2 linked regions of the Drosophila melanogaster genome follow. The protein of the gene in region 2 purifies or fractionates together with the protein of the main gene of each other region. This does not show direct contact. Each region holds a gene or a part of one and is shown on either strand. Other genes may lie near its edges.

Region 1 (7,912 bases), on a different chromosome or scaffold from region 2:
ATGTCGTCCAGCTGGAGAGCAATGCCAATCGCTGCCACCTGTGGCCGCTGCCGCCTTTCCCGCCCCAAGGTGAAAAACACGTGAACGGGTCGATCCGCTGAGTCACTTTTTGCAAACGCCGCGCTCCACTGGCTTTGAAAGTTTGATTTTTCGGATAACGCTGGCGGAGCTTTCGATGGCTTTTTCCAGCTGTTCCATGCCGTCAGACTCTCAAAAGCGTTCTAACAACCGCCACGAGCAGTCGCGATCTTCGGTTTCGGTTTATGGTGCCCAAATACTTGGATTCGTCTTATCGGTTCTACGTGCGCATCTCACGTAGCAGATAAGTGATTTTCGCACAGCTAAGACATCCTCAGCATAATGACAACTGCCGAATTGCAAGGTTCCTATGGAGGCCTCTACTTTGGCTTCTGCACACTGATCTCGCATGTGCTTCTGGCGGGGATCACCGTAGCCATTGTTTACAAGTGTCTGGTGCTCAAATTGGTGCACACCGCCGGACATGCCTTCTACTGCACAATCGGCGTAAGTATTTTGATTTCGGATATTAAAAGATTTAGAAACATATGTGAAAAAGTGAAAGTTTGAGGCCACGGTTAACAAATAATCTAATGGTTTCAAGGATATATATTTCTCGAGTGAGAGTTTTCTGTACCCGGAAGACCTAAATATAAACTGGTTTACTATCTCCTGAAATTTTTACCCGTCCTAAATCATTGTTCCATCTATCTTCTATTTCATTATAGTTTGTGTTTTTCATGGGCGAAGCATTGCTGGTCCGGAATAGCGCATATTTGGAGTCCTCGTTGGGTCCATTGAACCTCAACCGCCTGCACGCCGTCCTGGGGCTGTTGGCATTCCTGGTCGGAGCCGGCGGAATCGGAATCAAGACATGGCAGAAGCTGGAGCGCAAACGGGAAGACCCCAATGCCACCGTTCGTCACTTTAAGAGCAACCATGCTTTTTACGGTGTGTTCTCGTCGGTTCTTTTCCCAAATATAATGATAATTTATGCCTCCATCTTTCGCCCATCAGGTATAATCGGTTGTGCTCTTCTTCTGGGTAGCGTTCTGAGCGGTCTTCCGCTGTATTTCATCAACAGTGGCTTCGCCTTGAAAATGCTTCATCGATTTTTCGGATTGTCCGGATTCCTCGTTCTGATGGTATCTCAAATGTTCGGATATAACACGGGATTCGGTCGGCGACAGTGGAAGGCACACCACCAGAAGCTCTTCAAATTTTTCACATTTATTGCCACCATTACGACTGCAAATTACGAACTCCGGAGATTTGTGCGAGATGTTGCCGGCTTGGCGACAGACTATTTTATTGGATCAGATGCAGCAGAAGCTAGAGAAGATCTTTGAGGCTCTTTCGACAAGCGAGTAGTGTTCACACTGGAATATCAATACTACAGGAAACGAATCGAATTCCGAAACACAGTATTGTGGATTTGTGTATCACTCAAGAAATAATTCGAGTGCTTTGCGGATTTGAACTCTGAAAAACCAGAATCGATTTATACCATACGTATAAACACATTATCTAAGTGGAGGAGGCTTTTGTTGTCTGTCAATCGTACTCTACTAAACAAAACCATATCAGGTATAAAGCAGGCATTTTAAATCATTTTACTTTGTGCCTTTATTGCAATTTCACACATACATATATATACGATAACATTTTGTTGATTATTTAAAACATAACATATATCTATTTTCACATTTATTTTGGCTACGAGATAAATCTAGCACCACAGAAAAACTAAGCTACGTAGTAAACTGATACGATAAAGTAAAATCCCTTTTTCATTGGGTTCTATAGATATTGAAGATACATTGTAGATATATCGATATTGAATATGAATATTTAGTTGCGGTTCTGCGATACGTTCATTACGTCCAAGGCAGCTGAGATATTGCCCTGAACCGACTCTAGGAGCTGGGTTAGCCAGGCGCCCTCGTTGCTGAAACCCATGGCCATCATGGCATGGATCGATTTATTGATGCTTTCATCTAATTAGGAGACATAATTAATACAAAGCGATTAGTTATTTAATTCGGCACTTACCAGTGTGGTAGACGGGGACCGTGCGCTTGTCGTCGGGAGCTGCTGGGGAGGTGCCGACGCTATTGGTGGTCACCGATGTGGTCGAGGTCGATGTACTCACCGTATCAACTTGAGCAGTCTGGGTGTTGGCCGAAGCCTGCTCCACGCGAGCCTCCTCATTCATGTGCTGACGCAATAGTTCGCCCAGCTGACCAAAATCACGCACCGGCTCCTGAGGAGCAGCAGTGGGATTGGTTGTGTCCAGATTGATCAAGTTACTATTGTTTGCAGAGTATGCATTGTCAATAAGCTGCCACTCTGGATCCAAGCTGTCTGAACGGCGTCTTTCCTGCTCTGTTTCGGTGGTGGTTTCCGATGGCTTAGGATTCAGGGGCTCTGTCTCAAGCTGAGCATCAGGGATCGAACCAGAAATTGATGGAGTGGCCGACTGGTTAGCAGATGGGACATTAGACTGATTAGCCGATGGAGCGGCAGAGGGAACAGCTGACTGGTTGGCCGAGGATGCCCCCGACTGGCCACTGGATTGACCCTGCTCTTCTGGTTTCTTATTCTCAGCACTGGGAGTCGTTGAGGGCGCAAAAATTCCCGAATCACCGCCCTCAGTGGTATCGATAATCTTGGAAAACATTTCGCTGAAGTTATTAAGGATTTCGATGCCAGCACTCATGTACTCGGGTGGCACAATCTGCGAAATGTTATCCAGATTAATCACTGGAGTAGTTGGCTGAGTGGAACGTGGAGTCGTCACTGGATCTTCGGTTCTAGGGACACTTTGATCAGTGTTAACCTTCTTCGGCTCAGTTGGTTTGGCCTCGGATTCAGCTGCCTTTTCAGCGGTAACAGTGGGCTCAGCTTGTGGAGGACTTTCAGTTTGTTCTGCAGCCTTCGGTTTCTGCGGTTCGGCTGGTGCCGTGGCCGTTGTTGTGTTCAGCGGCAAGTTGGTCATCATCTCGACAAACTGAGTCAAGACTCCGGCATGGCGGCGGGCCTGACGCCGTTCACGGCGACTATCCCTTGCGGGTTCGCCAGCAGGATCTGCCTGGTTCGTCTCCTGAAACGGGCAATGTCCCCTGGAGCGCCGGCCACTGCGGCGTCCCAATCCTGGACCTGTGAACCAGGCATCGACCATACCGGGTCCATTGTTGGTCGGCATGCGTAGCATCAAGTGCTCAGGATGCTTGTGAGCCAACTCGCATTTCTGGCAAAGATCATAGTTGCTGCACTGAACGCACTTGTAGCGGAACCCAATCAAGGGAGCCAAGCCGCAGCCATCGCATTCAACGGCGTCGTGGATGGTGAAATTGCTCGGATCGTCGACAGAAGGAGCTTCAGCGTTGGCCGAAGAACCCTCTTGCTTGGTGGCCTTTGGCTCCTCTACGGGCGCCAGTGGAGCCACCTGAACGTGCATATTGCTCTCGCACTTGGCCAGGAAAATCTCATAGTCATTTTGGTTGACTATTTCGATTTCATCTTTATCAGCGTCTGCAAAAGTTAGAATAGGCAAAGGAAAATAAAATCAATTATGAATCAGTGAAGTTTTGTTATCAAAGGTGAATCACTGAGGGCTCTAGTTAGACAAATTAGCTACAGTTGTGGTTGTACCAGCACAACCCGTTTGATCTATGTAAATGTATATGAGTACATGTACACATACTTTACAAATTAAAAAGCGCGTTAGATGTATTTAAAATATATATGTATAATTCGAGAATTCAGAAATATGTAAAATCAAAAATGTTTTGTATGTGTGCCATTTATGAAACAGTGCATCTAATATGTTGACCACGTTTGTACCATAAAAATATATATGTACATATTTATCAGCTAATGTGTCAACACAATTTTGCCAATGATAAGCATTGAGCAGGAATACTATCTAGGTGAATCCCTGCTTTGTTGGGCAAAGTACGCAATAATTTGGGCTGGTTTTTAAGTAACGAGACTTAAAAGCTAAATGGTCAGCACTGCTCGGACGGATGCAGTTATGTATGGAAACGAATGTACTTATACCATGCACATATGTTGCAATCTTTGCGACTCGATTGCAATTGCGAATAACTGTTTGTATGTATAGCAAACATTCACTCTGCGGCATTTTCATTGTAAAACTCACCGATCCAGAAGGTCCTTACGTCGCATTTGGGTAACTGGCGCTCCTGGAAAAGATACAGCTCGATTTCGCGACGCAATATGGTGTAATTCTGGGAGGGCATCCGCAGGTATGCATTTATCTTTTTCTGGGGTCCAGCGCCCTGGTAGGTGATTTTCAACAGCTTCTCCGGCATTTTCGCAACGTATTCTGTAGTTTCGACAGACTTTTGAATATATGTATGTATATATATCGATGCTGACGCTTTTATTCTCGTTTAACTTGTTGCGGCGAATTTATGTGACGGATTCTATTAATTTGGAGCTCTCGACTACTGCGTAGTTTTTGTTCGGCCGTTCGATTGTGTATACAAGTGCAGCTGGGTGAGAGCAGGTATATATACTAGGCGAACTAGTTGCTGGAAGGTTCTTGAATGAGTGAGGCTCAAATTGTTGCAAATCACGGTGCTGCCTGCTGGGCTGCACTAGTTAATCTATCCCCAAAATTGTATTGTAATGCCAAAGCTGGTCTTTGGCAAAGATTAATAATACTTCGGTTATCGATAATGAAAATATTTTTACGCGGCTCTATCGAACTCACCACTTTTAGTATTTTTACATTCACATTTTGCTTTACATAAAATTTCGCCAGAATATCGATATTTTTACCCATTAAAACTTCACACATACATACGTCAGTTTCTTATCGATATCGAAATCAGCAAACCCGAAATATTGAAAACCTAATCTAAAGATGGTTTTGTTTTATGAAACTTGGCAATCTAGGTAATCTAAAATGATGCCTCTGCGTTCGTAATTTTCTTCGGAACTATAAAAATGGGAGGCAATAAAACGGTCAATCTGAACTGGGGTAATTGGAGGTTTTTCAAGATGTTTTGAATTCCGTCGTAATGCATTCCCTAGTAATATTGATAGGTATCAAACTGGAGAAGGTGAAGGGTGATATTTATATCTAAAACATATAAAGGATGGCGTCCTAATCATTCAATCCTTCAAAGGATTGAACTTCCAAATCGCGAGGTTCACGTGAACATTATTTCCGAATATACATATATATCTTGATATCACACGAAATTGCCTTCACGAATCTTTACTGAATGAGACTGGATTTATTCGCGGTCTTAAAAGCTTTGAAAACAATGTCCTCATGGAAATTAATCAATCGATGATGAAAATCAAAACAGAAAAAAAACAGAAATCAATTGTCCGGGATCTAAAGAAAATAGGAATGAAAAGCATATGATTTCGGAGTTCTCAAATCGGACGATCTGCAGATATCCACTATTGGATGCCGAGTCTTGCTTGCAAATTAGCTCCGCTTTCGAGGATTCATCTCCAGACTGAGCTTTCTATTGGATTCCCAGAAAATTTTAATTTTTTTTATAAAGATAGTTGACACACTAAGTTAAAATAAAAAAAAAAAAACATCGTATGTCATGCTTTTCAATATTTATATATTTTGAATGGAAAAGTGATGGATGTTTAAAATACCAAGTACTGTACAGTGATTTTGAACTTTTTAAATATTGTTCAGTGGAACAGCACCAATGGGATCAACGGAAATTTAAATTCGAAGAATGATTTTATTTGCTATGTATTTTCCAAGAACTTAGGACTAATTTCTTGTCATAGTATCTAAAGATATCATTTTAGGCCTTAGAACTTTTGAGCATCTTAAGCAATTGGAGCAGTTGAGTTGGAGATCTGAGCAAAAACCATCTTTTAATTAGTTTCTAAGCAGAATTACATATTAGTGCTGTACTAACCGGCTGGCAGTTTGAGAAGCTACAATTTGATGTTGTCTGCTTTCCAAATTAATCTGGGCTAGCTCAGGAATCTTAGTTACGCCCTCGGTGGAACCAGAGTCTGTGTCGGTCTCAGGATCCCTCTCGTACATCTGAGTTGAATCTGGATCCGGTGTAGATTGGCGCAACAACATTTCACCTGGCGTGGAATTAGTGTTATGTCGGCAATTCGATTCTATTACAGTAGTACTCACTCAAGTAGGACTCTGCCATGGAGTAGAGCAAGCTGGAGCTCATTTGAGGCGCCATTCCGATGACGACCCCATCCACTTTGAACTGATAGTTCTCCCCACCCTTTTGCCGTTGGTCGTATAGAATGTCCTCGCGCTGAAAACCATTCTCGGAATAGTCGTCGTATAAGACGTCCAGCAAGTCGCTGATCACGTTCCTCGAATTCCCTGGCCTAGTCTTGCCGCCAACGGGCTGGGCCAGAATTCTTCCAAGTGCCACAAGCAGCAGGGCGAACACAAACAGCCGGTTGGTGAACTTGCACATGATGTTGCCCAAGCGAAAAGACCGCAGGACCGATGTGCTCCAATGGCGTGCGTTGAATGATTCCAAGTTCTCGGCCGCTGTGAAGGCGAGCCCACCTGGACCACAACTGGAGACTGGAAGACCAAGAAAACCCGATTTATGGACACAGTTCAATGGCCGCCTCCAATCAGCCCAAAGACTTCCGCATTGCCAGGTTGCTGTGGGAATCTTTAGCTCCGCGCATTTCTAATGCTTCCCAGCAGCCACGTTCGAAGTCCGTTCCATTCGAGAGGAACTATCTGCCTTGTGTTCGATCTTCTCCGGCTCCTCATCTAACCCATTGTCGTTCGCAGATATCGCATTGAGTTTCAAGAAGAAACTTCTTTTTTTATTATTGTGATGAGTTATTTTCACTCATCTTGCGCCAATTTAAATTTGTTTAGTAACCCAATCTCTGTAAGCATGATTCCAAAAAAAGTTAACCCAATAACCTCAATTTGCCGCAAAAAGAAGTCCAAAATCTTTATGGCAGTGCTAATTGCCCCGCCTGCAATAGACACAGCTAGATCTCTTTCAGTTATCTAGTCTGGGTGCAGTTCTGGGCGCGGGTTCAATGACTTGGCCACAGGAAGGGGCTGGCAGCCACCTGCAAACTGGTTTCGCACATAAATCTCGCGTACATCGCAAACTATGGAGCACCTGGCCTTTGGCTCTGGACAGTAATTGCCGTTTTATGGCCCCAGGAAGGCTATCCAGACTCCAGCCTCATCCTTCAGCGCATCATTAAAGCCGAACTCGAACCGTTAGATCCAGTGCCCACTTCCGCCGTTGGAGCATCTACATAGAAGGTGATTTGCAATCTGAAGCTAACTATTAACAAAAAGTTATTAGCCATGTAATGGTGCTTAATGTTAGTCGCAAATAAATCATCTCCCATATTTGCTCCTACTAACGAGCAGTTTAATCTCAATGTCGATTATGTTTTCGTATTTATTAATAAGACAATTTCGTCGGCTTAATTCTAGAGTGTGCAATGTATGAAACTAACATTTAAGCTGGCAGTCTGGCGTTCTCACTCCTCCGCTTAATAGCCCTCGATCTGGCGACATTCGCCGTAGCTATCACGACGTTCTCCGCGAGCGCAGCGCGCCAGTCCGTCCCGGAGGAGGGTTCGGGACTCGGCCAGGTCGTCGTCGGCCAACAGATCGAAGCTAACGATCTCCGGTTCCACCGCTTGTGCCCGAGTGGGTTCCTCGTCCAGTTGCCAGGAGCGCGATTGGTCCGAGAAGTAGGTGGGTGCGTCGATGGGGGGGTAAAGGCCATTGGCTCCTCTGCCAAGATCGCTGCGGTAAATGGGGGCACTAATGGAGCGCGGACTGGCATAATCGCCGCCGGTCAGGCGATTGGTATCCAGATAGCTATCGCCTCTCAAGGAGCGGGAGCTGCGGAAGTAC
Region 2 (8,874 bases):
GACAAACTGTCTGTGAGTGGGCAAGAAAAGGCGGCATACAGTGCGCGCCAAAATATTGCATACAGTACAAAAGCAATAAATATTTGACTAGAGAAATCTGAATCAAACATTACTATTTTGATAGACATATTTAGATAGCTACCATTGTGTTATTGAATCTCTTATTTATTTGTATACAGAAAACGATATTCAAGGATGTAACGCTGCAGTAGATAATATTGTATGTACTATATATTTAGATATGCTTCTCCAAGCTACTTATAATTGAAAACAAAAATAAACTATAGTTTGATATTTCGACATCCCAGGTTTTTTGACCTGGTCCACTATGCTTTGCCACCACTGTACCATGCAATTGTAGGAGGCTGATACCGCGTTCGTTTTTTAAAATGGCGGCGCGACAGCCGCAATTGGCGATAATTTGTTTGGAGAAAGGAAAAAAAATGTGAGCTCTTGGGCGAGGGGTGCAATAAAGCCCTTTTGCAGGGCAATAAAACTGATGTTTCTAACGCCTGCTGCTTCATATTTTGCGCACATTTTGAACATTTGAATTATTCCTTTGTACGCGCACAAATTTATGTATGTATGCTATACTATCCTACCGCAACAAAAAGGATGCGCAGACAGTGCCCATCGAAACCAGCAGTATTTTAGCTTTTTGTAAATCAATATAAACATAAGCACACCCACCTTGTAGCGTTCTAGTTCTAGCAGCACAGCTAATACTTATACAGAAATTACTTTGCGACAAATTAACTGATTTCAATTCAACCGACGCCGATACAAACAAATTATAACCAACGCGCTAGTGGGACCTTAGCTACCACGCGGAGAAATACCACGTGCTGCCGATCATCGTTTTGCTTTCGATAAGTCACGATGGTTCACGTCTTGGAATTTCTACATCTATATGTAAAAAAAAAAAAAAAAAAATTATCAGAATAGTGAAACAGTACAACCAACTTTAAAGTTGTAATAATTAAAATTGTTTGTAAATGTGGTTTAATATCATGTATACCATTTATTTTATAAATATCCACCAGCTGGTTGGACATCTGGCAACTCCTGTCATTACATGCTTTCAGTGTCGAGCGTTTTCCAGCACTTGCATGTTTACCTTAAGAAGAAGAGTAGAAAAAATCGTTGTGTAGTGGCAAAATAAATAAATACAGATGTGAGTAGCAGTAAATAAAACATACAAAGTGCAAAAAAGGCATAAAAAGTGCATGACCCTCGCATAGTTTAGTTTCCAGCTGGGAAACCTTTTATTTGTCTACGATCGTACATTTATCTGCATGTGAAAACCTCAATGAAACAAAGGGAGAAATTAACGGTGTATTTTCCCAGCCGATTTACGTGGTTATATACATAAATATATGAAGTATCTGTGAGATCTTGAAATCCCTGGTGATAAAGTGTAAATGTTTGTCCTGCATTGCGGTAATCTCTTACAACAAAGTGGTTTGTTTTAAGTGGCCTTCTTTCGAGTTCAGTTTCAATGGCCTTTATCAGCTGTTTGGCACATGGCGTTGGAAGTGCGGGTGTGTGTATGTATGTAAATAGTATGTACAGTACGTACGTGTGTGCAAGGGTGACAGCTGTCGCCCCAGGGAGAGCAATGTAAGTGAGTAATATTTGTTTATGTGAAAGCAAAGTTCAACGGTACCTGCAAACACACAAACACACATCCCCAACATCCGTGCTGATTACGCTGCTGTTTTCACCTACACCGACGTACCACTGTGACAGTGTGTAAGGTTTTGCCTCTTCAGCATGATTCGGCACTATTTCGTCCAGTTTTTGCCTTTATCATTCATTTACCAACAACCAACTCAGCGTCACTTTATGCGGAAATTTAAAGCCGCACTTTGATGAACTAATGTTATTAAAGGGCGTGGATTTTCCAAAGTACGTTTGATTCGCCATAATACTTATATGGGATTTTTGGCGGGGGAAGTCCCTTTTGCCCTTATCTGATTAAACAAAAATATTTGTGTAGTACATATGTAGTGGTTTTAATTTGGTGATTCAGATAAGAAAAACATACGATAAATTTTAAACGTTTTGTAAACATTTCTCTAGAATAAATAATAAAATTAAAGGATAATCTTTGAAAGGGTTTTGTGTCTTAATATTATTAAATGAAAAAAAAAAATATTTCATTATTGTAGTTACTTCATTTAATGCGAAAAATTTTTTTAAGTGTGTATCAGTGATATTAATATTTCTATCGTCATGTGTATAAGGCGTTCATAAATTGAAATTGTTTTGGGAACATGACTTGATACTTCAAAATTTATTGCCTTTTCAATTGAGCTTGGTAACAATGATTAATCGGATATACCGTACAATATTGTGTATATGGCCATTTATGTTGTGAAATTCCCTTAAGACAGAACTCCGATCATGACTAAAATACTATGCAATAAAAAATAGAGAGACGTAATCTCTTTTAAACATATTCCACGATATGCGCATACGAAATTAGCTTAGCTTTTTGTTTTGATTGTATTCAATAGTTCATTTGGCACGGACTTTGAACACATTTTAGCTATCTTTTGAACAAAACGAAATTCCTAACTGCTTGCATGACACGCGTAATTTTTTTGCAAACGCTGTGTAGCCTGAGGCTCCATACAAAAACCTGTTGCTGGTAAACATGGTAAACAATTATGTTTGCCATCGGTTACGATTTGTGAGCATCATCGTTACGGTCCAAAAAACCGCCCACGGGCCGTGCGTTTCATTCATGGCATTATATAGTTTTTATCGCCACAACACGGAGTGTATTCACCTGGAAGGGCCACATAGAACTCAGGCACATGTGTGCACACACACACATATGTAAGCATGATAACGCTCTTTGAAACGCTCCCCCCACTCCGCCACCATCCCCGCGAGAGATAAGTCTCGGTGGGCTCTGTGGCTGGGCAGACGCAGACCACGGCAGTCAGTTGACGGGCTCTCTCCACGGCACACGCATGATCGCCGGAGCGGATTTGCGGAGAAGCAGCTGATCGCGCGCTTTCATTTTCACACGGACTTTCAGTCTTTGTTTGCGAAACTATTGATTATTGAAACTATCTCTACCGAACTAACGAAGCTGTGAAGGATCCCTATCGATCCGAGATTAGTGCCAAAATGCAAACCCAAATGCACTCGCCCATGCAATATGAGACCCACATCTCCGACATGCCCAACCACAAGGGATACCCCTGCCGCCCAGAAGGTTGGTTTTTTTTAAAGTTCTGGATTTGACCTTGGGTCTACAGTTCAATTCGCAACAAGTTTGCCAGATATTTTCGCTACGCGTGCTTTTGGTAAAAAAAAAAGAAACCACTGATCATGACGGTGCGCATTGCGAATCAAGTTCTCTGAAACAGCCCACAATGATTGGCGAAAACGATTCCAGATTGTGCTACAGTGAAGTCACTTGTAGTTGAATGTGAGATGATAAAAATTAATGGAGTGAAACGGCACTTATCCAGGTTGCATTGCTCGATTTGGACGTTTGAATAATTAGAGACATTTGAAATATTATCGCGAAAGAAACTGGTTTGTGTTGACAATGCAAATTCCGGTTGGCAATGTAGTATCCATTCGAAAGAGTGTTCTTGAAATAAACAGATAATTTACCTTAATCTTATCTTAGTTTTCTAATCGAGAGCTTATAAATCTTTAAGCCCAATTTACCAAATTACCAACTCATAAACTTACCAACTTATTCGCATTCAAAAACAAAATAAATGACCGCTTTAATTTCTAGAACGTATTAAAGGTCGGTCGTATCTAACCTTTCGGTTATCTTGGATATCCATAATATAGTACGTCATTTCACACTTGGAGGATTTCTTTAAAGTGCCATTTTTAATTTTTTTGCAAATTCATAACAGATTAGATAATAAAATAGAATAAATAGCCCGCGCTGATTGTCGATCTATTTGCGATGGATGAGGTACGAGGTACAAGGGTTACAGGGCTCAACTGTAGGGCGTGTATTGGTTTTAAGATTAATAATAATTAATAATAATTAATTACTATTTAATATAATTATTAATTATTATTAAATTAATTGTTAAATAATTAAAATTAATTGAATATTTTCTGAAATATGTCCTGGAATTACAATATGATCTATTCCTCGATTTTCCAGAGGCTGAGATGAGCAACACTTCGGAAAGTTGTTCCATCTCATGCGGTGGTCGATTCGGATCGGCGCACTCGACCCTAGATGATCACGATGCTACGGATGATGACATGACCTTCTGCATGTCCAATTACGCCAAGGAGGCCCTGAAGATGATGTACATGATGCGTTCGCACGGCATGCTCACGGACGTGGTACTCGAGGTGAAGAAGGAGCTCTTTCCCGCCCACAAAGTGGTGCTGTCGGCGGCATCGCCCTACTTCAAGGCCATGTTCACGGGGGGACTCAAGGAGTCGGAGATGTCGCGCGTCCAGCTCCAAGGGGTAAGTTGAGCTCAAGCGCGGCCCTTAATTGGTTGGTTTAATGGATGAACAGTTCGTCCGTTTCGGTGTTACAGGTGTGTCCCACGGCCATGTCACGCATCCTCTACTTCATGTACACCGGCCAAATACGTGTGACCGAGGTAACGGTGTGCCAACTCCTGCCCGCGGCCACCATGTTCCAAGTGCCAAACGTAATCGATGCCTGCTGTGCCTTTCTGGAGCGCCAATTGGATCCCACGAATGCCATTGGCATCGCCCACTTTGCTGAGCAACACGGCTGTGTTGAGCTGCAAAAGAAGGCCAATGTGTTTATTGAGCGAAATTTCACTCAGGTAACCTATTTACGATATGAAAAGAGTACACAAAACTATAGCTACTGAGTTCCCCTAAGGTGTGCCAAGAGGAGGAATTCCTGCAGCTTTCGGCATATCAGTTGATTGCCCTGATACGAAGGGATGAACTGAATGTGCAGGAGGAGCGAGAGGTTTACAACGCTGTGCTAAAGTGGGTGAAATACGACGAGGACAATCGACACTGTAAAATGGAGCACATTTTGGGCGCTGTCCGTTGTCAGTTCCTTACGCCCAACTTCCTCAAGGAGCAGATGAAAAACTGCGATGTTCTGCGAAAGGTGCCCGCCTGTCGGGAGTATTTGGCCAAGATCTTTAAGGACTTAACGCTGCACAAGTGTCCAGGAGTCAAGGAACGAACCCCCAACACCACAAGGATGATATTTGTCGCCGGTGGCTTTTTTCGTCACTCACTGGACATTCTGGAGGCCTACAATGTAGACGACATGACGTGGACGACACTGGCAAATCTACGCATTCCAAGATCTGGTTTGGGTGCCGCCTTTCTCAAGGGCAAGTTCTATGCGGTTGGAGGCAGAAATAACAACATTGGATCTTCCTACGACTCGGATTGGGTGGATCGCTATAGTGCAGTCACCGAAACATGGCGTCCGTGCGCTCCCATGTCCGTGCCACGCCATCGAGTGGGCGTGGCCGTGATGGACGAGCTGATGTACGCCGTAGGCGGGTCCGCCGGCATGGAGTACCACAACACGGTGGAATAGTAAGTAGTGTTCATCATTTCAATAGATAATAGTTTAATTAATTTGACAAAGCCTTTCTGGTTGTTTATTCTATCGACATAGTTTAGCAAACCCTATTTATTTAAATCTCTTGCAGCTATGACCCCGATTTGGATCGCTGGACTCTTGTACAGCCGATGCATGCCAAGCGCTTGGGAGTGGGTGTTGTGGTGGTCAACCGTCTGCTTTATGCCATCGGAGGTTTCGATGGAAACGAGCGCTTGGCCAGCGTGGAGTGCTACCATCCGGAGAACAATGAGTGGAGTTTTTTGCCACCACTACAAACGGGTCGCAGTGGAGCGGGTAAGAATGACTGGCGCATCCTGTTATCTAATTTCCAACTAAGTTCCGATTTAATTGCTATCAGGTGTTGCTGCAATTAACCAGTACATCTACGTTGTTGGTGGCTTCGATGGCACCCGTCAACTAGCCACCGTGGAGCGTTATGATACCGAAAACGATACCTGGGACATGGTTGCGCCAATTCAAATCGCACGCAGTGCTCTCTCGCTGACTCCGCTGGACGAAAAACTGTACGCCATTGGTGGATTCGATGGCAACAACTTTCTGTCCATAGTCGAGGTCTACGATCCACGAACAAATACGTGGACAACAGGAACACCACTAAAATCGGGAAGATCGGGTCATGCGTCGGCGGTTATTTATCAGCCGGCGTGTTCCACCACGTTTATGGACTACGAAGATAGTGACGCCCCACACCCGGATGGAAGTAACAACGGGGAAAGGAATGCTCATACACCACAAAACACGTACGGCAGTGGGAGTCCACATTATCCTGGGACGGCGTCCAATATGCAGTTTCATACTTCATACGGAATGAGCGGCTGCAACAATTGTGACTCGGAAATGGATATAAAACCATATATTCCTGCAGAACACCATAGTTTTCAAATTCCCGCCATTAGATCCGAGGAGCTAGTCAATCCAAACTGTCCTTGGTCCAGAATGCAGGAAAGATTTCGAAGAACTCCACCAGCGTCTTTCACAGATGATGAGAGAAATGCTAATGATATGCGGCATAAATTAAAAAAAGCACAAAAAGAATGTTTATTTAGCACAGCAGCGAAAGTTTTTCACCATCACATCGAAGGTCGCCTGCGAAAACTCACGAGCGCAGCCACATGACAATACGAATCCGAGCCTCACGCTTAGCCTCAACCAAAAACATCATTCATTGTACAAAGCCTGATCGTATCCCCTAGAATTCCATGTTGAGAAGCAGCATTCCATTGTAATATTACTTACTAGTGTGTTCGCTAGGTGATAATTAGTCAAACCGTTTTTATGGCATCCATAACATAACTGGCGCTCGTCAGCCCATTTTAAAAAGATTGATTAGGGTTAATAGTTGATTAGTGGGAGGAAAGTTCGTATTTTACGTATTTTGTAGGTATCCAAACTGATAGATTGCGTATTGTACTTTTTTTAACGTAGGATAAGAAGAGGAATTATGCGCATCCAAAATAGGTTTTAAGAAAAGAAAGCAAATAATTTAAGAAAAATAAAACAAACATATTTTACAAAGTTATTTAATCTTTTTGCTATTAATCTTGTGCAAACCTTTGGCCGTGGCAACAAAAAGGCCATATTCAAATATCTTCCTAATAAAACTCACCGTGACAGTGCTATTTATTCCATTAGAAAGATAAACTGTTGTTTTCGTATTTGTTTGTAAACGACTATTTGTGTATTTTGCTTTTAAACAAGTTGTCTTAACAAGTTGCACATTAAAGACTTCTCTGCTTTCGGGGTCTTGGAGGATTGAAGGAAACATGTGTGTTGTCGGTAATGGAAACGATGTTCAGCCCACCCATTTGCAGTCCTTTGATGGCCGACTGAATCAAAACATTTAATTATTTTTAAGTGACATGAGAGACAAAAAGTATTGAACATACCATTCTTCCAGGGCCAAGACCACGAACCTTTACTCGCACTGTCTTCCAGCCCAATTCAATGGCTTTCTGAAATACAATTTAAGTTTTTTGTTTTAAATGATTCTATGCCCATATTATACTATTCAAATGCATATATGGTATACAACTATAATGGAGATTATCTCGATGTTCTATGTAGTTTTTGACCATCCTACTTTGGTAAAACCTGTTTCTTGTGGAAATGACTTACTCCACTAATGGTAACCGCTGTAGCTTGAGCTGCTATGTTGGTTCCCTTGCGAGTGTTTTTGAATCCCTCAATTCCACAGGATCGTATCAGCCGGAGGACTCCTGGAAAGAGGGATACTTTAGATCACAGTTAGAGTAACGTTCCAGATGACCCACCTTTGTGATCCGTGACGGAAATAATTGTGTTGTTGGGTGAAACGCGAATGTTGCAGATGGGCAGCTCGTTGAAGGGTATTCCATTGAATAACGTGTTGGCGGTGCTGGCATCCGGGAAAAACTTAGCCTTGCTAAATGGAAAATTAATTGAATTCAAGACTATTTACAAATGTAAAATTGAATTCCAACCGGTTGATAAGTGTGTCGATGTCCACGGTCTTTTCGCCCACGGTTCCTTCGTCTTTGGCCGGTAAAGATGCCAGCATTTCCTTGCGGTCCTCCGCCTTCCGCCAGCAAGCGCTCGTGTGTATCCTAGAAGTCTGGAGCGGCACAGCGGGCATAGTAATACTCCGAAGAGCACTTAGAAATACACTTTTCAGTGACATTATTAATTTACTTCGCAGAGGGTTCACAAAAACCAAATTACATCACACTGCCAGTCTGGCAACACTGGCAGTGTTGGCTAGCACGCCACAACAAGTGGCCACGCTTCGTGGTGACTGACAAAAAGTCAAGAAGAAGACTATTTTCACGTGTTCTTGTTTTAAGTTGGTTTTGATTCCGGTTATCCTCGTGTAAAATGGCTTTAAAAAGGTTGAAGAGTAAGTAATAGTATATATGTATATACATTAAATGAAGCTCTACATCTATTGTCAAAATCCACAGCCAAGAAATCCAAGAGGCTCACCGGTCGCTTGAAGCACAAGATCGAAAAGAAGGTGCGGGACCACAACAAAAAGGAACGTCGCGCAGCCAAGAAGAATCCAAAGAAGGGTAGCAAGAAACAGAAGCTCATCCAGATCCCAAACATCTGTCCCTTCAAGGATGACATCCTCAAGGAGGTGGAGGAGGCCAAGCAACGTCAGGAGGCCGAACGTTTGGCTCGCCGCGAAGCCTTTAAGGCGGAACGCGAACAGAACAAGTTCAAGACGCTGGAGTCCATGGTCGAGGATGCAGACATGCGGAGCACCGTGCACGGAATAATGCACGAAAACGATGCCCAGGATCAGG

Evidence for each region. The genes of interacting proteins can lie anywhere in the genome.
Region 1: the proteins of Keap1 (region 2) and ref(2)P purify together in Drosophila melanogaster (affinity purification with western blotting; 3 studies listed by BioGRID). This does not show direct contact.

The regions. Positions count from the first base shown.
Region 1 is NT_033779.5:19,539,260-19,547,171, reverse strand, and holds ref(2)P (refractory to sigma P), read right to left. Parts: upstream 4,705-7,912; 5' UTR 4,356-4,704; coding exon 4,184-4,355; intron 3,553-4,183; coding exon 2,071-3,552; intron 2,016-2,070; coding exon 1,870-2,015; 3' UTR 1,624-1,869; downstream 1-1,623. Other genes in the region: CG10337 (uncharacterized protein), read left to right, coding at 361-525, 747-969, 1,036-1,367; CG13081 (uncharacterized protein), read right to left, coding at 5,829-5,883, 5,946-6,123, 6,179-6,479; CG13082 (uncharacterized protein), read right to left, coding at 7,543-7,912.
Region 2 is NT_033777.3:17,072,173-17,081,046, reverse strand, and holds Keap1 (Keap1), read left to right. Parts: upstream 1-2,944; 5' UTR 2,945-3,141; coding exon 3,142-3,229; intron 3,230-4,153; coding exon 4,154-4,470; intron 4,471-4,544; coding exon 4,545-4,802; intron 4,803-4,861; coding exon 4,862-5,544; intron 5,545-5,660; coding exon 5,661-5,866; intron 5,867-5,930; coding exon 5,931-6,709; 3' UTR 6,710-7,105; downstream 7,106-8,874. Other genes in the region: mRpS11 (mitochondrial ribosomal protein S11), read right to left, coding at 7,312-7,419, 7,480-7,545, 7,709-7,809, 7,864-7,994, 8,053-8,249; Ns1 (nucleostemin 1), read left to right, coding at 8,444-8,465, 8,530-8,874.